Drosophila melanogaster: one gene and its partner. The protein of the gene in region 2 interacts with the protein of the main gene of each other region in a pairwise test. Each region holds a gene or a part of one and is shown on either strand. Other genes may lie near its edges.

Region 1 (8,842 bases), on a different chromosome or scaffold from region 2:
AGTGCAACCCACCCATCGCCTTTTTGCCACTGGTATTGCAGTAGCAAGTGCAACTGCATTTGCGTTGGACTGTTAATTACCGTTATTGAACTTGTTTGATTGGCACAAGTTGGAAAAGTTGGGCGCACCAAGGCAAACGCTGACCGCCGTTGAGCAGCCACGTTTACCCATGGAAATCGGATTTCCCGGCCGGATGTATGTTTGCATGGGTGTGTGGGTGATGCCACTGCCACTAGGAAACTGCCCCACCTGCCACATGCAATGCAAATAAAGGCAACGTGCCAGCCAGCCACTTGGATAATATTTCCTGCAATTAACAAGCTTTTACCTTTTTCCTTTGCCAATAATATGATACTCCTTCCTTTTATACACCTGCAGTAGTATCGCATTTCATTAAGCAATAAATAAATTTATTTGCATTCGCACAACATATCCAGGATATATAATATTTACGCCCAACAAGTCAACCATGCGAGGAGGTTAAACTTTGTGGATTTCCCTATAAGAGAATTCAAGGCATGAATATTAATTCGAAATTAGATTTACATTTCTCCAACTTGTTCGGCTACCAAAAAAGAGAAGCAAAACAAAGTGCAGCGGAACCGGAAATGCATTCAACGCCGCCTTTCAATTGACATGCTCTGGGTCGATCTGGGCAAAACAAGATGGCGGACCTCGTCCTTGTTGTCCTTGTCATCGCTGCGCTTTTCCCCACTGTCATCGCCATGCGGACATGTGTGATTGTGTGCGATTGCCACGTTGTTTTCGTTGATTTTCCCACTTGGCTTCGCCTGCCATATGGCTAACGCGTTTGGGGCAGGGCTCTCTGGCATCCTGCTCCTTCTTCGGCTTCTTCGGATGCTAAAGTTGACTTTTTACTGATTTGAACTGCAAACTTTCGCCATAGTTTAGTAGTGGTGGTTGTTGTTCTTTTTTCACAGCCACGGAGGGATTTATGGGCGCTCAAAGTGCTTCTCGGTTCTCAGCTACCAACTCTCGAATCTCGCTTGGGTGTGAAGTAAAAACTTTGTCCTTCCGTAAGTAGGAGAATTTATATATGAATAAAGGTGCATATATACGTGTATATACGTATATATGCATGTATAGATACGTGGCACATGAGTGGGTAAACGGACACTTGAACATAAACTTATACGAGTCAGTGTGTAATCAGTTGTAAGCCAACTGTAATGCCAGCAGATGATATCGATTCAATTTTCAGTTCTTTCGGGGAGTGAATCTTGTTAAGTGGTCAATTCATTAATATTGGCTCCAGCTTGTTGACTACGAACTGCAAAAAATGTGTGTTTAATCCCGAAAAATAGCGCTGCCAGAGGATTTATATCAGTTGGGAATGCAAAGTAAAGCAACTGTCAACTGGGGCTAAGTTATGTCCAATTCGTTGGAGGGAAATTGAGGAGAAGACTCGCTTGGCTTTGTCGATGGCAATTGCAATTGAATCCGAGCAGCGAAAGGATTTTGTGTGGGTTCTTCGAATGCAAATTTCGACAATTTATTGCCAACCCATTTTGTTAATTTATTGTCCTTGCATTAGTTGTACGCCCACTTTAGCAAACAGATGCGTTTAATATAGGGCAGACGTTATCTTAAGATATCTCCTTAACTGCAATGCCTCACCATCTCGAGCTCTCGATGATGTAATCCAAAATGTTATCGCTTGAATCAACCCAACGTCAGTCAGGCTCGTGTGGAAAACTTAGTTTTCCCAAACGTAAGCTTAATACATTTTGCCAGCACGAACTCAATTTCTTTTTCACATTGCCTTTTTTTCGCTTTCACTTTGCTTCAATTTATAAAATTGAATATTGGTGGCGAAACTCGATTTGTCCACACACGACCACGCCCACAGAGGCGGGACGATTGGCATTGGTAAGGACGAAAAGGACCTGCCGCTTTCTTGTATGCGTTGCGTAAGTTGGTAAATAATCTACAGCTACTTACACGGAAACCTAAAGGCACTGGGATGAAGCAACCACTTTAAATTGTTTTGAAAGATTAAGGACTTACTCTCATTTTTTCCATTTAAAGCGCTGGCAAAGTCTTGGATTATTGGATTATTTTGGCACCTAGGTGAATTATCCTTCAGTCTTCTAAATATGTAGCGAATGAGACAGCACAAGTTCATCGACTTTCGTGAAACTAAATTTATTGTTTTACTGTTAAAACGCTTAGTGCATTTGCCTGCAATGCCTGCCAATTGCTTCATCTCGAAAACCCCACCACCCACATGCAAATGCCTTGGCACTTAGTTTATTTCATTAGACACACACATGTGTTTTCTACCCTGTGTGTATATGTGTGGGTGTGGTGCATAAAAATTGTCATTTTCCCAGCGATTTTTATAGAGCCCCATGCTCTTATCGCCACCCCATTTTTCTGTTTTCACCATCACTCTCTGCTGAATGCCGTTGACAGCTTTACGTTTTGTGGGACGCACAGTGACTTACATAAGTACAGCGCTACACACGCACACAACTGCTCCTTTGTGTGTCATTTAGCTTTTGTCTCACGCGTGCCAAGTTTCCCCGCTCCCGACCGCCTCTACCATCCGAATTTTCCCCATTTTCCAACTTGTTTGTGCTCTTAATTTTCTTGCCAAGTTTGCAGTTTTCGCAACGTTTTTATATGATTTTTATACAAACGTGATATATTTCTCTGATGCGCCCGTTTCGCTCAATTTTTATTAACGCAGCAACGCCCCATGTGTGTGTGTGTGTGTGTGTGTGTGTGTGTGTGTGTGTGTGTGTGTGTGTGTGTGTGTGTGTGTGTGTGTGTGCGTGTGTGTTGTCACTCTTTGTCCTTCGTCCTTTGTTCTGGCTTATTCAATTTCACTTATTGATTTCCCTGCTTATCTGGCATCTATGTATGTATGTGCGCCAGGGGGAATGTAATCACAAGAACCCTACTTTTGCCAGATAAACGCAAACTGACGGGCATGGACGGCCATGTGTCGGTCCACTCTGTTCCAGAACTCCATAATGATGCCGCTGTCCGAATGGCGCTCGGTGGGCGAGAGAGCCAGTGAGTGCACCTGCAGCTTGGTCAGCTCCGGGCACATCGGCGTATTCCTAAAGTGCAGATGGAAGGCGCAGACCTTGTGGAAGATGGCGGCGGGGTCAGCGCCATCCGGCCAGCCCTTGAATTGCCACTTGGGTCCCATGGCGAACACGGCGACCACCCGATCCCATTCGACGGGTGTTAGGTTGGTCACGTTGTCGATGACCCGGTAGCTAACAAGCTCGTTCTGAAATTTGCATTTCATAAAGGTAATTAATCTATCGATCAGGCATGCACTTATTAGAAATTCTAACAACCAATACCAAGGCATATACAGCTAGCCATAACTATTAGCGAAGCACTTAGAATGAAAAATTCCTTATTCTCCACCGCATCAGTGGAATAAGTAGAAGAGCGAAGAGAAGCGTACTTAGTAACTCTGTAAATTTACAAACTTCAAGCTACTATAGTTTTTTAACCCACCTGAAATCGATGCTCGACTATGACCTCCTTGGGCCGACACTCAGGAGGGTTAGACTGCCGGCCGTTACGCTCTGGCTCGTAGTGCAACTCCTCGAGCAGTGTCTTGATATTGTTCAGGCTGATCATGCTGGTCATTGCATCCGGAACCACAATGATGGGCATTCGTGCGTAAAGCTTCGATGAGCGACGATCCTTGCTGTTGCTTCTCGACCTTTCAATGCTTTCCCTACTCACAGATCGGTTGCGCTTGTCCTTTTGACTTTCGTGAAAAGTCGCGCAATTCTCCAAGTTGCTGCCCTGCGGATTTATGCCGAACTCTTGCTGTGCCTTGAGGAATTTCTCCTGGCCATAGCGATTGTACTTGGTCTTTGGCCAAGGCGGCTCTGTCATGATCTCCGGCGGGGGCGGCATTTCCAGCTGTGATAATTCCGGCACCGTAGAGTCCAAGCTACGCATCATGGAATGGTGAGCCAGTTTGAGGTATTCCTGAGCAGTCGTCATCTCCTTCTCGCCCAGCAGCTGCTCCTCGAAAACGCGGCACGGTCGCTCCCGCTTCATGGCCCGCCTGCCCAGTTCCTTTTGCATGTTATCCAAATTACGACCCTTCTCCCGCTCCTGGGCCCTCATCTGCATGGCGTTCTTATCGACGCTCTGCTTCATCGCCAAGCGCTTGGCCTTGATGATTGCGATGGCCTCCACGGTCATGGTCTCGGTAAGGGTCTTTAGAATAGGATCCATTTCGGTTGTTTTTCACGCTTGATTCGCACACTCAAATTTGAGCTTGTTAAAATTTATATATTTTTTTTTTTAACGATACGCACTCCGATTCTGACAACACCTTGCAGCAAATGATTTTATGACTAAAACTTGATACGATTAAAAGTTCAGAGCCAACTATTTTCGATTGCCATATACTATTAGTATGACCGTGTTGCTCGATAAATGAAATGCTGTCAAATTCTATGAATTCAAATTGCCAAATTGCTCCTTGTTATGAGTTTCACTGTACAAACTCGATTTTTCTTGGCTCACCTCCTTTGTTGGCACATAAAAAACTCATAAATATTCAAACTTTCTCGCTGCCATCGTTTATTTTTTGTCAAAGCCATTATTTATTTTTATTACATTGCCTTGGTCAGTTGTTCGTCCCGCTCCTCTTCGTTCCTATTTATATATTTTTTTTTTATTTTTCCGCCCCGAGTTGTTTTTATTTGTAAGCTATTTTTATTTGACAAAGTTTCACCCTCACCCACGTCCTGGTAAAAGCATGGCAAAAGGAATTGTCCCGGCTTTATGTTATTGACTTTAATAACATTTTAGCTGCAAGGCATGAAAATATTTTTATAAATTTTGTTTCTGTTTTCCTCCGCTCGGCTGTTTCTTGCATTTTTCCACAGCATCGCTTTGTTTTGCCGCCGAAGCCTGAAATTGATTTCTGCAATAGGGGTGATGGGGAGGTGGAGGACACTCGTGTTCCCATCATAATTTATGCATCCATCGAGTCAGCCAGTCTTCCAGCCAGCGAGCCAGCTAGCCTCAAAAGCTATTAGCTGGCTGGATTCCCCAGTTATCGCAGCTATATATGTATTTATGTATGTGTATATGGCCCGAAGGGGTTGCCCGTAATTGCTAAAGCGAAATTTCATTACCAAAAACGAAAACGAGCGGGTGGCATTGTAGACGGGTTTCGTTTCGCGTGTGATAAATACCGTGAAAGGTCGCCGCCATTGCCATCGCCATCGCCATCGCCATCGCAGCTTGGGAAATGAAATTTTCATCCAGACTCTTGTGGCAGCCATTTTGTCGCTGGCGCTGCACTAGAAAATGTCTGAATGGCGGATTGGCGGCTGCGGCAGCGGCATCGTTGTCGCCATTTTTGTTTATGGCCGCATTTGTCACAGCAAATTGTATTGCCAACTGGCGGGGCCTTGCCTTTTCCCGGCATATTTTCCATTTTTTTTCGGCGCGGCCGCGTTAAGAATGCGGCATAAAAAACGCGATGAACCGAAAGGCTCACCTTACGTCTACGGCCTTTTGGCGTGTTAATTAAACCGACGGGAATGGCCGGGATGATCTGATTGCTCATTCGGCTCAGCACTAATTAAGTTTATAGCATTATGGCGAAAAAAAAAATACATTATGGTATGGGCGGTATTTGAACGACAGGCACATTTTTCGGATTTATATTTCATGTAGCGAGAGGGAAGCTTTAAAAAAAGCGACCAGAATGACCAGAAAAAACCCGAAAACAATGCGGAAAATTGAAATTGAAAAGAATGGCTTACTGACATAGATAGGGAATGCCCTTTTTAGAATTTCCATTCACAATTCTTTTTTGCAAAGAATCAGCGGAGCGAACACGAGATGCGAGTGCATAACTTCAAATTTAATCAGAGAAGAATGCGACCACGCATAGACCATCTGCCAGCGGGGAAATGAAATCATCGCTGGCCAGCGATTTGCACCCAACTGCATGGAATCGCATCAAAGCAAGGAAAAGCCGGCAGAAGGGAAATGGGAAAAAGTGAGTTTCACTCGCCTTCGGCGATCGCCCCACCCAACATCCCAACTGGCAACTAATTTCGCCTCAGTGACAAGACAAGGCCATCAAAAATTCCCCTCCCGAACGAACCAGGGCCAATTATTGTTTGCGGCTCCCTCGTTTTAATACGTAGCCGCAGCGTTGGCCCGTTTACGGCACACGACCCTCGGCGGACGAGCAGGCTGCGAGAGAAGGGAAAAACAATTTTGTCAGCTTATAAACAGTAAAAATAAAATGCCGGACTAAACAAATACGAGGACCAACAGCATAACTATAAAGCGCCATTGAGACACAAACACATGCAAGCGCACACACAAGACAACCAGGTTCACATGCATTTAGTGTGTACACAGAGCAAAAAAAATACATAAGCAACATAATAAAGGCAGTCTCTTTATTCTTTTTTCTGCATGCAAATTATAATCCCTTATCTTCCACAAATAAAGTCAAGTATTTAATATAATAAGTTTTAATATAAATAGTTGATATAGAAGTGTCTCCGTCATTTCTCCCTGTGCTCATATGTTTGCTTGGCTCCTTCCCAAGGCTGAGACTTTATTACTTTCCTTGGCGAATTATTTCCATTATGTTTTCGCATTCGGAGCAGATTCATGTGCTCAAGCCAGGCCAGGACAATTTAATGGAAATGAGATTGGCTTCGGCTGAAGGTGCAATGAAGCCGTACGATGGAGAATGGAAATACGCCTGTTAAGTGGGCAAATAATGTCGGCACTGCTGATCAATTTCAGTGACCCCCTTTTTGTCCTTTGTCAGCAAAGGACCCCGAGTTCCGATCAAGTTGTTTCCCACGGCGAATACCGACCAAGTCGGGAGGACTTGAAATGTGAGTGACAGGCTGCACGGCGTATATGAACTGGATGTCTGTTTGTGTGCTTGATTGTGCTGGGGTTCACTCACACACATACCTCATATGCTGGAGCACAGAGTCCGCCAACCTTTTCAAAGTTTTTCGAAAAAAAAAAGGGAAAACATCTCGACTACTGCAGCCGCAGTTGCAATCTGTATCAAGTTTCTAGTATCTTTCAGTTGGCATTGCCGGCGTGTCCACTTGGATGTCTCTCCATCATGTTTGCACATTTTGATGGCTGTTTGATGTGCAACAGTTGCACTTCAAGTGGCCAGTTGCTGCCTGTCATCTCGCTTTGCGAAAGCGAAATATCAAGCATTCGCCATGTGGTCCAACTCTTTGCACTTCCGCCCGCAGGGGCCACTTGGCCAGAGAGAAACTTTTTTATTCAATTTGATTTTCTTCAACTGCAAGCAGCTGTTGCAACTTCCCCACAAAATTGAATCCGAGAACGGATGCCAGCACACGAAATTAAGCGGAAACTCTGAAATTTATTTTACCATGGGTTATGACAGAACATTTATATCGATTTTCTAAAGCGCTGGAATATCACCAGCTTTAATCATCTGACTTTATAAGTGGGGCACACGTGTATGCATTCTTCCCAGGGACTTTTCCATTAAGCCAGAGCTGAGTTGAGTCTTTCCTTTCAACAGAACTTGTTCAGGCAATCAACGAGTCAACCTTGACGAGCAGCTGCAACTTCACGCACTCAGAAAAAATGTTTTATTCACTTAAAAAAAAAAAATTACCAGCTAACATCATATGAATGGTTGAGGTTAGTGCACACTTTAAATGCTGAAGTGAATTGCTACCCTGAAAAGTGTATACATTTCTGTCATATTAAACATAAAATATGCCAATTGAGGTATGAGCTATGATAACTTTCTTAGTTATAAGTTGGTTTTTCCTGCGAGTGTCCCTATGACTCACAGTTTAGCATGACATTTGCAGGCTGACAGGAAGTGCACTTCAAACGGAAATTGCGACACACATATTGCCAGCTTCCTTTGACTCGACTCGTTTCGTTTCGCTCTTTAACAATATGCGCACGTATGCTAATGCCGATGTATCTCTCGCTTCCCCTAAATTACCGTAATTTATTACGGAAAGTGGGCGGTCTTTTTTGCTCTTCAAATGCATTTCAATTGCCAAGTGTGTCAAAAGTTTCAACGCTTTTCGGGCTCTTACCAGCTCACCTGCCACCTGTTCTTCAGCTCAGACTGTCTGTCTGTCTGCGCTTCTGGCCAAAAGCTCATCACATTTGCCACTTAGTCAGCTCGTCAGCTTTTGTTGCAGCTCCTGCCGCTGCCTACACTGGAAAATAAATCATAAAGCTGCGACAAACCAAAGTTTTTATAACAGTAAAGTAAGGGAATAAGTAAATCTCATTCAAACTTATAGTATATACGAAAGTGGAAACATATGAATTCAATGTTTTTTTTTTATAGATTTTAAAACATACACTACTCACTATTTTCCAGTGTATACTCACGTGCAGTTTGGTGTAAAATATTTTAGAGGGTTATATGGTGTGTGCAGCAACTGTAAACTGCAAAATGCTACTAATTGTTTTGCCGCCAATTACGTGCACAAGTGTGTGTGGCAGCGTGCAGCTGTGTGCGTTTGTCTGTCGTTTGATGTATGCGCTCTGTTTATTAAAATTTATTTTGTCGAGCACCTACTTTTCGGTGCTGCTCGGCTCTAGCACTCACCTTTCCGGTAATTTGTGCATTTTCGCATAACATTTAGCACAATTTTCCGCATTTTGCGGCTTCGAGTGACAGAGTGAGGAATGCTGTGGGATGCTGCAGCTTTTTGTTTTCAAATTGATAGCGTGAAATGAGAGTCAATGCAAGCAAATGCTAGAATTAAAAGGGGTAATATCGATCAATAAATTCCTAACATTAAAAACAAAATAAAACAATAAT
Region 2 (12,264 bases):
TGTCAATGGTTGTTCGCAGTACATATGCGGTAAGGCTTTATAGCTCCCCTATATATACAGTGTTTATTTAACCATAATATTCCTCAGAGTGCATACCGAAGGACCAGTGCGAAATAATTGAGCTGCGGGAGCTGCTTCCAGGCGAGATCATTGTGAATGTAGAAGAAGGCTGCTGCCCCACTCAGAAGATTGAGTGTAAGCCGGAGACTTGCCCCAAGGCGCCTGTTAACTGTCAAGAACGATTCTACGAAGTAAAGACCATCAAGGAGCCAGGAATGTGCTGCTCCAAGCACTCATGTGGTAGGGCAAATATCCTCGTTATTGAAAATTCGCTTTTAAAAAATACTCACTTCACTTTCAGTACCTCCCAAGGATCTGTGCATTGTTCAGTATGAGCTCGACGAAGCCACAAAGTTCACCAAGACAGTGGGTGATAAGTGGACCCATGCCAAGGAGGTTTGCAAGCAGGAGACATGTTCCTATGGTCCGGATGGCAATGCCCAGGTTGTCAGCACTTTGGAACAGTGTCTCACTGACTGCGCCCCAGGATTCAGCTACCAGAACTTGGACAAAACCAAATGCTGTGGCAAGTGTGTCCAGACTTCGTGCATCTTTGAGCAAAAACTATACGAAGTCAACGCACTTTGGAAGTCGGCGGACAATTGCACTACCTACAGTTGCCTGAAGAAGGATGGCCAATTTTTGGTTACCACCTCGAGAGAAGTATGTCCGGATGTGGGTAGTTGCCTATCCCACCTGTTGTACCAAGATGGCTGCTGCAAACGATGCAAGTCGGAACCATTGGTGGAGGACAAATGTGAGTAAAGTCCTAGATCCCAGGTCCGGACCGTCTTAATTCCTTGTTCTTTGTAGCATCTTGTTTACCCGTTTCCTTGGCCGAGTCGCGTACGAAGGAGATTCTCAAGTTCCCTGTGCAAGGACATGGAACATGTGTGAATGCCGATCCCATTCAGGGCTTCACCGACTGCGAGGGTGCCTGCTCCTCTGGTTCCAAGTACAATACACTCACGGACATGCACGAGAAGTTCTGTACTTGCTGCAGCATAAAATCCTATCATCCGATTTCCGTGAAAATGATTTGCGATGATGGTCACACATTTACACAGAAGGTTTGTCACATTTTCTATTTAATTCCCATTAAGTATTTAATGATATACTTATTCCAGCACGAGGTGCCCTCCAACTGCGGATGCTCGCCGTGCTCAGAGTTTTCGGACTCTGCAATCGATGTGCGAATGCAGCAGGATGCGCAGTCTCCACTACTCCAATTACTCGGCAACCATAGACATTAATAACTTATTGGTTGTCTGAGAAAGTCATTTCGTTAGTTTTAAGAATGTCGAGCATAAAAATAAAATTTTTAAAAAAATTAAAGTAGTTTGTATTTGATTTGCTATAAGATGTTTTTATTCACACAACAAAACTCTACTTGTAACTCAACGTTAGCCGCATCAAACATTTGCATACTCATCGGGGTTTTTATATACACATACACCCAGAAAAGGTAGAATATTCTACAAATATTCTACATTTTGCTTACATCTATCATATTTGCAAGTAATCGTTTATAAAATTAGGCGGATCAACGTGATCAGTAAAGTCTCACCCCTCTTGACAAGCAAAACAGTATTTACCAAAAATTAAATGTTGTGTCGAGAAATCGCACAGAAGTTTCGAATTTCATAATTGACATTTACGTGAAAAAAACATTGTAGTTATACAAAATATACGTAACATTTTAACAACATTTGTAACATATACTAAATATATTCATAAATTCATATATACATGATGTTGGGGATATAACAATTCAAGAAATTCGTTCTGGGCTCCCTACGTTTCTAGATACTAGAAGATAATTGGCGAAGAGGATAATGATTATACAGCGTAAAAATATAAATGTAGATTACAGATAAGTGGGTCTAATTCTAAGCAAATAAACATGTTGATACTACAGCTAAAAAATGGAAATTTTGCGAATTACTTCTAATTTTTTATGGGAACAGCGGACATGGGGATCATGGAATAATTTAAATATCCTTGGTGGCTAAAGCTATTTTGTGCCCGGGCGAAGAGACGTTGTTGGTGGTGGCATTGGCCAACCAGCAGGCACTGCCTCAGACGGACTTGATAAGGCGATCCTGCCGCTCGAAGAGTTTCGTCTTGTTGGCCAGTGTCTCAGTGGCTGTTGCAATGACACCACTGGTAGCAGCCATGGCGGCTGATGTGGCACTGGCCAGCCGCTCCTGCATCACGGCGGTCAAGCACTCCCGGAATCCCAGCAGGAATTCATCTGCATTCTCCCGGTTGAAGCACATGGGTGGCTTTAGCTTGATCACGTTATCGTTGGGACCGTCGGAGGAAACGAGCACCCGGTGGAGCTGCTTCATCCGGTTGACCACCCAGTGGGCAGCCTTCTTGTCGGGAATACGCTCCTTCCGATCCTGGACCAGCTCTATGCCCACGAAGAGTCCAGCGCCTCGCACATCGCCAATGCACTCGAATTCTTGCTTCAGACGATTGCACTCCTCCAAAAGATAATCGCCCAAAACAAGAGCCTTCTGTTGCAGACCCTCCTCCTCGATAACGCGCATCACTGCATTGGCGATCGCACAGGAGACCGGATTGCCGCCATAAGTGTTAAAGTAAGCAACTCCGGTGGCATGGAAGGCCTGAGCGATTTCCGGAGTGGTAACTACCGCACCCACCGGATGTCCATTGCCCATGGGCTTGGCCACACACACAATATCGGGGATTACGTTTTGGGTCTCGAATGCCCAATAGTGGCTGCCCACGCGTCCAAATCCCACCTGAACCTCGTCAGCAATGCAAACGCCTCCGGCAGAGCGTACCGCATCGTAGACTGCCTGGAAGTATCCGGCTGGTGGCAAAATCTGTCCACCGCAACTCTGCAGACTCTCGGCAATGAAGGCGGCGACGCCCTGTCCTTTGGCCAACTGCTTCTGGCAGATCTCCTCGATGGGCTGAGCATACAGGGCACCCATGTCAGCATCCGGATACATCTTGTCCGTAAACTTTCCGCCATAAACGTCCGGGCACGGCGCCACATGCACGTAGTCGGGCTTGGCCTCGCCGCCGGGCTGGTTAAATTTGTATGGAGACACCTCCATCACCGACTGCAGATGACCATGATAGGCACTGTAACGAAATAAAAGAAATTAGCATATTTTTCCATAGGTGTTCAAAATAAATATTAAGCAAGCCAAAATCATTTTTTCAAGCAAATTTAATCTCTAGAATCAAACAGAAGAAACTTACTGGTCGAGAGTGATAACATCCTGACGCTTAGTAAAGTTGCGGGCCAATCGAAGGGCCAGGTCATTGGCCTCGGATCCGGAATTGACGAAGAAGCAAACGGACAGAGGCTCCGGCATTTTGCTGGTCAACGTGCGAGCACACTGGACCAGTTCGTCGTGGAGGAAGCGGTTGTTCGTCGAGATGGTGGCCATCTGCAGGGCTCCAGCTCGCACCACCTCCGGATGGCAATGACCCACTGCAAAGATTGAGGTCAAATTTATAATTATTGTATAGTTTTTAAATAAATATATTTAAATTGTTAGCAAGTATTAATAAAAGTAAAATAGATAACCATATTGTATAACTGAATACCAGGCACCCTCTTTAACTAATCAAATTGCTAACTCACGATGGAGAAATAAACCCAAAAATAAAGCTTTCAATTAGCGCTACTGACCCAACGAGATTATTAGATCAAATTTATAGATAGATCAACCCAATAGTGATAAGCTTGTACTGAGGGTGTGGCTAAAATTAGGCAAGTCGCGCACGTGATTTTCCCCTAACCACTTGCTTGCCCGATCGTTTGTGCAGCGCTTCACATATAAGCAGGGCAATCTGCCACGATACCGAAAATAAAACGCTTTCAGACAGGCCCGGATCCATTGGGCTCGGCGTCGCCATCCGTAAGTGTATCGCTATTCCGTAGGCGCCGACGGATGGGCGATAAGCCCCGGGACCCGGACCACTCCGCTCCCGTCGACGGCGACAGATTGCGACGTTTGGGGGTCAACTACTCGTTCCGATTGCGTTTCTAATTTCGTCTCGTACTCGCATTAGAATCATTTGGACTTGGACTCACACACGCCCCCGATAAGACGTAGTGTTCTGCGAGGCAGGTATCACGTGAAGTTCACGCGATGCCTTCACGTTTCTAGTTTCCATATCAGTGGTATGAAATTAAATGGTGTATAATAGACTGACTGTTTCTGTTTCATACGCTTGCTGATTAGGTTTGGAATGATCGAAATGACCATGGGGGAATCTCTGCACTTTGGTTTTTAATTATGTCGAGGGAATAGAAGTACAGTTATGCTGGGAAAAACTAGCATTTTTAGAAACTGTTTTGAAAGAGCGTTACTAAGCATATCTCAATGTGTATTCAAATAACTTCATCACTAGCTATATTGAAAAACTTCAGTTAGGGCTCGTTCTAGATCGTATACTTTAAGTGATGAATATTATTAATATGCTCTTCATCTTCTATAATTCATAACAAGCCCACCCACTTGTTTTCCTCTTTCGCGATCAGCAAATTTTCTTAGTTTTTCGCGACATTGTCGACAATCTACAAGTGGTCGCTATGACATGCTTACACTTCCACTTGCTCTTCTCTTTATATCGCCTGTTTGTACGACTTTTCACAGCCCGCAGGCCCATGGCTCGGGGTGTTTTTCCGACTATCTGCTCAGAATTTTCCACTCGCAATGTGTGCTGAGTGGCACAGCTGATTGCTCAGATCTCGTGGGGTTGGGGCACTACGAGCACAAATATTGAAAAACTAGACTACGTACGGACATATGGGCTGCACGACTGTACGCCTTGTGTGCTCACCCCGGGGCAGCCCCGCCCCCTTTTTTCGTACTGTGCCCGACCGCCTATCTCGAGTACATTTCCACTCGCACGAGACGTTCACATGTTGCGGCCTGTTGGACACCCGGAGTGGAAAAAGTAGCACGAGATTACGAGGAACGTGGTTTCTAGTTTCATAACAACTTGTTATTCAGATCGTCAGATCGTCCACACGTGCCCCCGCCACCTTATCATGGTTATAGTGCTACATGTTTGCTTGAGGACTGATTTCACACTTTGTTATTGATGACTTATGGGCATAGCCGTAAGTTACGTGCCTCTGCACGGACCCAATATTACGTTCTGAATGTGAAAGGGCTAACTATCAGTCGTATGAAGATCGTAAGACTTGTTCCGAGGTTGATTGAGTTTTGCGATCGTCTACGAAATGTGCAACCGTCTAAGTGGGTCATTAAATGGGGGAGCACTATAAATAATCCCAATATCCATCACCAAGTTTTTGAAAGTGTTTTGATATAAAGGGACAACATCTATTGATTGATTTATTGATCAGTTGATGGTGCAAACACAATCAGTTGACTATCTCTGAACTGTAAACAGCTTTACCTTTTTGCACCCTTCGATGATAACCCTTATTGGAATATTGTTTTCGACCCTGTTGATGAGCCCCCTTAGGTGGCAATTAACCAAAAGGAAAGCTATTAATAAGCGCTACAGTCGACGTTATCAAATCTCATTGGGTTGTCAAATCTATTTCATCTATATTCAGTACATTCGCAATGCCAATGGCCTCATCTTATCAGTGCGGCAAGCGTTAATACAAAAGGAAAAACTAATTTTATAGAAGGGCAGCTTTTCAGAAATAGAAAGCCCTGAAAATAACTATTTATTACTATATATGTTTTAAGTATTATTTAAGGGCATGTAATATAACTTTACACATATAAAGTTATAATTAATAGTGATTTTAGGCTAGGAAAATTGCTGCCAACAAAACCTTGTAAATGGAAAATTTTCCGTAGCAGGAAGTGTTTTGGACAATTACAAACAAGACGCAAACAATGTGAGCTACCTAGATCCCAGAATCAGCAAATTGGCAAATTGGTTGCCGACGTCAATCTTCGTTGTTTTTTTGTTATTGTCGTTGGGCCACCGTTGTTGATAAGTTGATATGGTTTGGATGGTCTGGATTTGACTGGGACCCCCTCGGTGATATATATATACATATATATGTATGTGTACGTAATACGTATTGTATATTTTACGCAAATGCGGTCCCTGGCCATTTGTTATTATTGTGATTGTCTTGATGGCAGTGCTGTGTTAATCACTCATTCTATATCTATATATATCTAGTTGAGCACTCAACCTTGAACTTGCGTTGCCAAACGCTCCAAATAGCCGCAGTGCCACATGCACTTTGCATCCGTACATTGGCCATTTGACGGGCGTGTGCCACTGCTAATCAGCATAAACAGAAATAGGATCCGTCAACGACCAAGTGTCGACGTCCGGACGGGAGGTCCAAAATAATCGTCATCAGGCCCCGGTTCCAAAATCGCAAAACATGACCTAGCAACGTACTTAATGGCACCCCTACTTTATTATAACAATTTTTTATTGCAGAAATGGCGACGAAATTATCATTTTCTGCGCCCTACACCACCGTTTTCTTCATCTTTTCACCTAATTAACAATATTTTCGAGATGAATAATAGGATCTATTACATATAAGAGCTGGTTTTTTGATCTATTGATCTTACGCATTCTGTAGTCCTACAAATTTTTACATATTTTTCAAATTTAGTTTTGATAGATTGACTTACCGTGGGCTACATTGTTGATGCAGTCCAGATACCGGGTGCCCTCCTCATCAAACATATATTGACCTTGACCGCGCACAATTTTCAGGGGATCAGAGCGATAGAAGAGCTGGCAGGCTTGTCTGCAGAAAAAAATGCAAGTTATTAAGTAGGTTAATTAGGTGGATGGCAAAGTTGCTAGCTAAGCTAAGTGAAGTCATAAAATCCAGACAATGTAAAAGGCAAAGACGTATATGTGACGATAGTTATACTATTAACCGGGGCCTATTTCAACAGTTCACAAATATACGACAGAGTAGTGAGTAGTACTCATTATCACCAAGATAATCACTGTTCCCACTGCCGTGTTTAATGGTTATTGTGTTTGTGTTTGTTAGACAAAAACAAGGCGTCTTGCTGTGTTTGATAAACATTTTAGGGTTGACTTTAGGCAAACAAAGAGAGCGGGAACGCAGCTGCTAACAATTTAATGGGGACAAAAAATGCACTTTGATCCGAACTGCATCCTAACCATTTGAAAATCATAATTATTAGCTACTTGAATTTAGCCTGATCCATATTTAGTTTAATATGGTAAATCAATAATTGTTCGCCAATAATTTGGAAACATGAAAGTGATAAAACCGAACTGACGTATTTTGTAAAAGTTCAGAGTCATAAAAAACAGGCCCCTTTTGTTTTCGAATTTCTCGATTTATTGCTAGCAATTTGTAATTCATTTCACAAGCTACCTAGCCTTTGTTCTTTTTTAAAATATTCCACAAAATGGAAAATTTGGATTGATATTTTTCAGTCAATTTAGATTACAATATATATGTAAGCGAGAACAAATGTGAAATGTATATTGAACGTGATTATCAAGTGCGAACACTCTGCCTAGCAGGCCCTTTGAATTTATTTTTATAAAATTTCCAAATTGGTTTTATAAATATTTTTATGCAGTCAGGCGATAAAAAATCAATATGGCCCAAATCTAAAAAAGCGCCGCTGTTGCACGACTTTTTTCCTGCTTTTTTTTGTGCACTTTTTTTGTTATATTATTTCCTTGGGTGGCGGTGGCGGCTGTTGGCAACAGTGCCAAAAATACAAAAGTACAAGAAAATCGGGCGGCCAGCCGTCCAATGCGAGCGAAAGAGAGGGCTGGCGATGAGTGGGCCGAGTGGGGGATGCCGCCTGACCTTGACAGCCAGAGCGAATTCAAGGCAAGGTCGCAGGCTCACGACCCGGACCAGGGATTACGAATACGAGCGAGGATAACGGCGTAAGGACCACGAAAGGAAGCCACTTACCCGATGTGCTGGTTGCGCAGCTTGATGGTCTCCGTTTTGCTCAGCTGCTCGCTGGCCACCAGATTCAGTTGCTCGTGGGCGAAAGGCATTTTTAAGATATATTTTGATTTTATTTTGTTTTTTTTTTTAACTCAGTTATTTAAAATCGGCAGAAAAGCGCGCACTTTTAGAACTGGCAAGTGACTTGATTTAAATTAGCTTTGAGCCGTGTGTTGAGACTGGAGTCCTGGCAGGATAATCGGTGCTCCTGGACAGTCGCTGGCAGGCACGGTCGCCTTTAACGTCTTGTTTGAAATTGTTGCCGAAGCAAGTTTCGTTCTCGCTTATAAACACACACAGCGGCATATCTTGCCATCTCTCTCTGCGAATTCGAACTCGCTCGCGCCTATCGATTTGTCGATTATTCATCGCATTAGAGTCCATTTGGGCGCGATAATTTGAATTATATAGTAATGGTAAATAAATAATAGTATAAAATTGTAATAGTAAATAAATACTAGTAGAAAATTGTAATAGTAAATAAATACTAGCAGTAAATTGCAATAGTAAATAAATACTAGTAGAAAATCGTAATAGTAAATAAATACTAGTAGTAAAATGTAATAGAAAATAAAATAGTTCGAAAATAAATCTATCATGGTACTTTTAGCTAGAATTGAAAGTTACATCTTTTATCCTCCATTAATAGACGAAAGTGTAGCCAGCGAATTCGAGTTTGATGTAGTTCCTAGAATCTAAAAGTATCTTTAAGTAATAGCCCCAAACAATCCAAAGCCACGCAGATCAGCGGTCGAAAATATCTATGTCGGTTATATAAAAAAACGTTTTCTTTTTATTTTTCTTTTGTTTTTTTTTTGCTGTTTTCTTTATGTATATGTAAATACCAAGGACAATATCATTTGTTTTTCACTTTGTTGTTTGCAATAATATAATTAATAATATAATATTAAATCAGCGCTTTTTGTGTTCATTTTCATTTCAATTTATGTATACCGTTATCTTTTGCTATGCTAATGCCTTAAATTGGTTTGTATTAATTTCGATAAATACAATTATTTTATTAATGTTTCAATAAATTTTTGAATTATTCTTTAAATGTTTAACTTTATATTTGTTCATTTATAATTGTTCTTTACAATATACACAACTGAAATACTTTTATTGGAATTGTTTATCATTAAACACTAAGCACTAGTTTAGCTCGATCTTTTGCGTTTATGCCTGGTGTTTTCTTTCCTAATTGTCATTTTGAATGGGATCGGAGAACAGAATAGAATGTAGGTACGTTTTTTGGTTTTTTTTTTCCAGGGGATTTTGTCTCGCAAGCAAAGCAAATTGGCTCTAAAAAGCAATGGAACAAATATCTAGGCATATAGAACTTGTACACTATCTATAAATATATGTTCTTTGGGTATGAGAATTTTCCTATGTACGATTTCTTTTGTTTTGCATTGTTTTGTGGTTCAGTGGTTCTTACGGTGCTTCGTCCTGCGTCCTTTTCAATAGCTTTCTCGATTCAAGGATGTATGATAAAAAATATAAAAGTGAGCATTGAATGTTTCCTTCTCTCTCTATATATGTAGTATATCTAGGTATAGTACAAGTTCGTGTTGAATTGTATGTGTTATAGTGTCTATATAGCAGATACAGATATATAACCATTTCTTGTTATGTACTAGGTGGCACAGTTTGTTTTTGTTGTAGTTGGTTGTTGGTTGTTTTTGTGGTCTGGTCTGAATTCATTAAAGGTTTTTGGGCATTTGATATATATTAGTTGGGGTTCTCATAATAAGGATCAACTGAAAAGCGAGACCTGGAAATCATAAGAGTTCTTTTGTTATCCGGTAATATACACAATCATACATTTTATATGTGATATATCGATATATCTACAAATTGGATTATCTCTGGTTAAAAGTCTAGCTCAATCTTAATCGTACAACAAGTTTGCTTCGGTTGAGGCTTTGCTATTCGGTAGTTTAGCTATCCATATTGACTATAACTAACAGCTATTGCTATTTACGATACGATAGTTCCGTGGTACATGGTTGTGGATCTATATGGTATGGTACATATACGTTTCTATATGGTATTTATAAGCTTTCATTTCTTTCCGTGTGATACGGTTTCTGTATGTTTTGGTTGAATGAGTTTAAATGCCGTTTACCCTTTCATTAGCATAGCATATAGATAGCCTTGTTGCTGTTTGTAATCATAGATATATATATAGTTCTATACATATTAATTCACATAAATGGTTTACTTCATCCGTGTGTGTTTTTTCATGTGGGGGGTATTGAAGTTGAAATTGAAATGGTTTTCTTCATTTTGCTTAAAATTGCTTCTCATTGTCGTTTACAATTTAGATATAGTTTAGCATACGTTTTATATTCGGTATATGTTTATATGTTGCTTGTATGCATGTATACGTTATATTAAATAGATATTTATCTGGTAGTTCTCAAAGTTTAAGATAAGCCTTCTCATCAAAATGTATCGCAATATACAAAGGCGTAAGTGCGTCCACAAGGCAATCCCCTTGATATTTTTCTTCACGCATGAACGTTGCAAAATGATTTCTTTTTGTTTCTATAAATTTTTGAAAATTTAACTTGAGTTTGGTTTTTTGTTCGATTTTCTTTTCTTTTCATTTCTTTTTTTTTTTTTGTGGTAAATTCACTAACAATAAGTAACAGCATAAGCTTCTTTGCTTGAATTTGGTTTTTAATTTTTAGTTTTAGCTAAAAAATGTACATAACTGATATTCAGTAAAGCGTTTAATTACATAATAGTCAACAAAAATACAAGTACAATACCTCATATAACGATTCAATTTCAATTGTAATAATTTTGTATATGTATTCAATTTCCACACAGACACATACATAAAGAGAGTTAATAAGAGAGAGTTAAGCAGAGAATTAGTTTTCCTTCTGGAGTTTTGAGATGATTAAAACAAGCCCAGCATAGAATCCATGCCCTATACATATCATTTAGACACAAAGTTAACTTTCTTGGGGACTTAGGTCGAACAAATTGCTCTTGTGACATGCAAAAGTTTCATTTCATAATCCAAACACTATCACACACAACAAACGAAATCAACAAATTTGGCGAAACGATTGACTGAACGACTGATTGACTGATTGAGTGAGTGGATGACAGATATAGGTAGATCGTTTAATCGAAAGTGAAGGATAGAGAGCGAAAAATACGTTGGTTTTTTGTTTTGTTTTTGATCTATAAAAAGGATTTTTTTCTTTGCTAATATTTTACACAATACGTATGAAGTTATAGTAAGCACTTGCTGGTTGTTCGTCGTGCCCGTTTAAAGTTGTTATATAATTTAATTTACTTGCTCGTGATCGCGCCCTGTCGGCTCGGCTCTTCCTGCTTCAACATCGTTTAACTTTTTACTTAATGCCAATCAACCTCAAATTTTAAGCGTTAATTTCTTCTTGTCTCTACAGCGTAAATGTTATTTTTGCATTTTTTTTTTTAGTGGCAGAGCAGACGTAGATGTCCTTCTGCCCTAGCAGTTTCATAATTCGTTTACCATTTTTCTGGGTTGGAGTTGCGTTTTGGGATCGGTTTGTTTTGGGGTGCGAGGGTCCTTTCTTGGTTAGTTGGTGAGGAGAATACAATTTTGCAGCGGATTTTCCTGGTGTCGGCCTTTTACTCCTTAAAACATTTAACAAACGTTCAAAAATTGTGCAGTGTGCAGTTTAAGTTGTACTAATAACAGGGATATGCCTTGCGGTGTTGTCAGATTGATCGAATTAATCGATTTAATCGCAGAACTGTAAATGTTGTCGATAATTAAATTTGTAGAAATATGATAGAATTTCAGTCGACGAAAATGTCGATTAACCTAACAACACTGCGGGTATATAATTTGATATCTTGGTTAAAAATTTAGAATTGATGCGCTTTTTGGGCTAAGTATTTCTGAGTGGGTGCTGGTGTAAGTGTTGTTGTGTGAGTGTTTTTGTGGCCATAGCTACTGCTTGCTTCATTTTATATATATTCATAGCTTTTTACATTTTTGCGATTTAATTTTAAGATTATTTTTAATTTTTACAAATTATCTTTTGCTTAGGTGGGCTTGATTTTTGTTTGTTGTTTGTTTTTTTGCGTTCGTTCAATTAGCTGCTGTAAATACAATCAATTTGGCAATATGCATGCGTGTGTATGTGTGTGTGTGCCGTGCATGCGTGTATTCGTGTATGTTAGTGTGTGTTTGAATCTAACAAAAGCGACAATTCGTTACTAGTTTGCTG

What was found.
Region 1: the proteins of CG8745 (region 2) and CG6220 interact in a two-hybrid assay, tested with the Drosophila melanogaster proteins (one large-scale study listed by BioGRID).

What each region holds. Positions count from the first base shown.
Region 1 is NT_033778.4:13,689,037-13,697,878, forward strand, and holds CG6220 (uncharacterized protein), read right to left. Parts: upstream 4,334-8,842; 5' UTR 4,240-4,333; coding exon 3,502-4,239; intron 3,266-3,501; coding exon 2,924-3,265; 3' UTR 2,671-2,923; downstream 1-2,670.
Region 2 is NT_037436.4:13,858,619-13,870,882, forward strand, and holds CG8745 (uncharacterized protein), read right to left. Parts: upstream 8,288-12,264; 5' UTR 8,074-8,287; coding exon 7,985-8,073; intron 6,818-7,984; coding exon 6,699-6,817; intron 3,536-6,698; coding exon 3,301-3,535; intron 3,181-3,300; coding exon 2,139-3,180; 3' UTR 1,409-2,138; downstream 1-1,408. Other genes in the region: Hml (hemolectin), read left to right, coding at 1-29, 88-300, 362-817, 874-1,130, 1,188-1,313.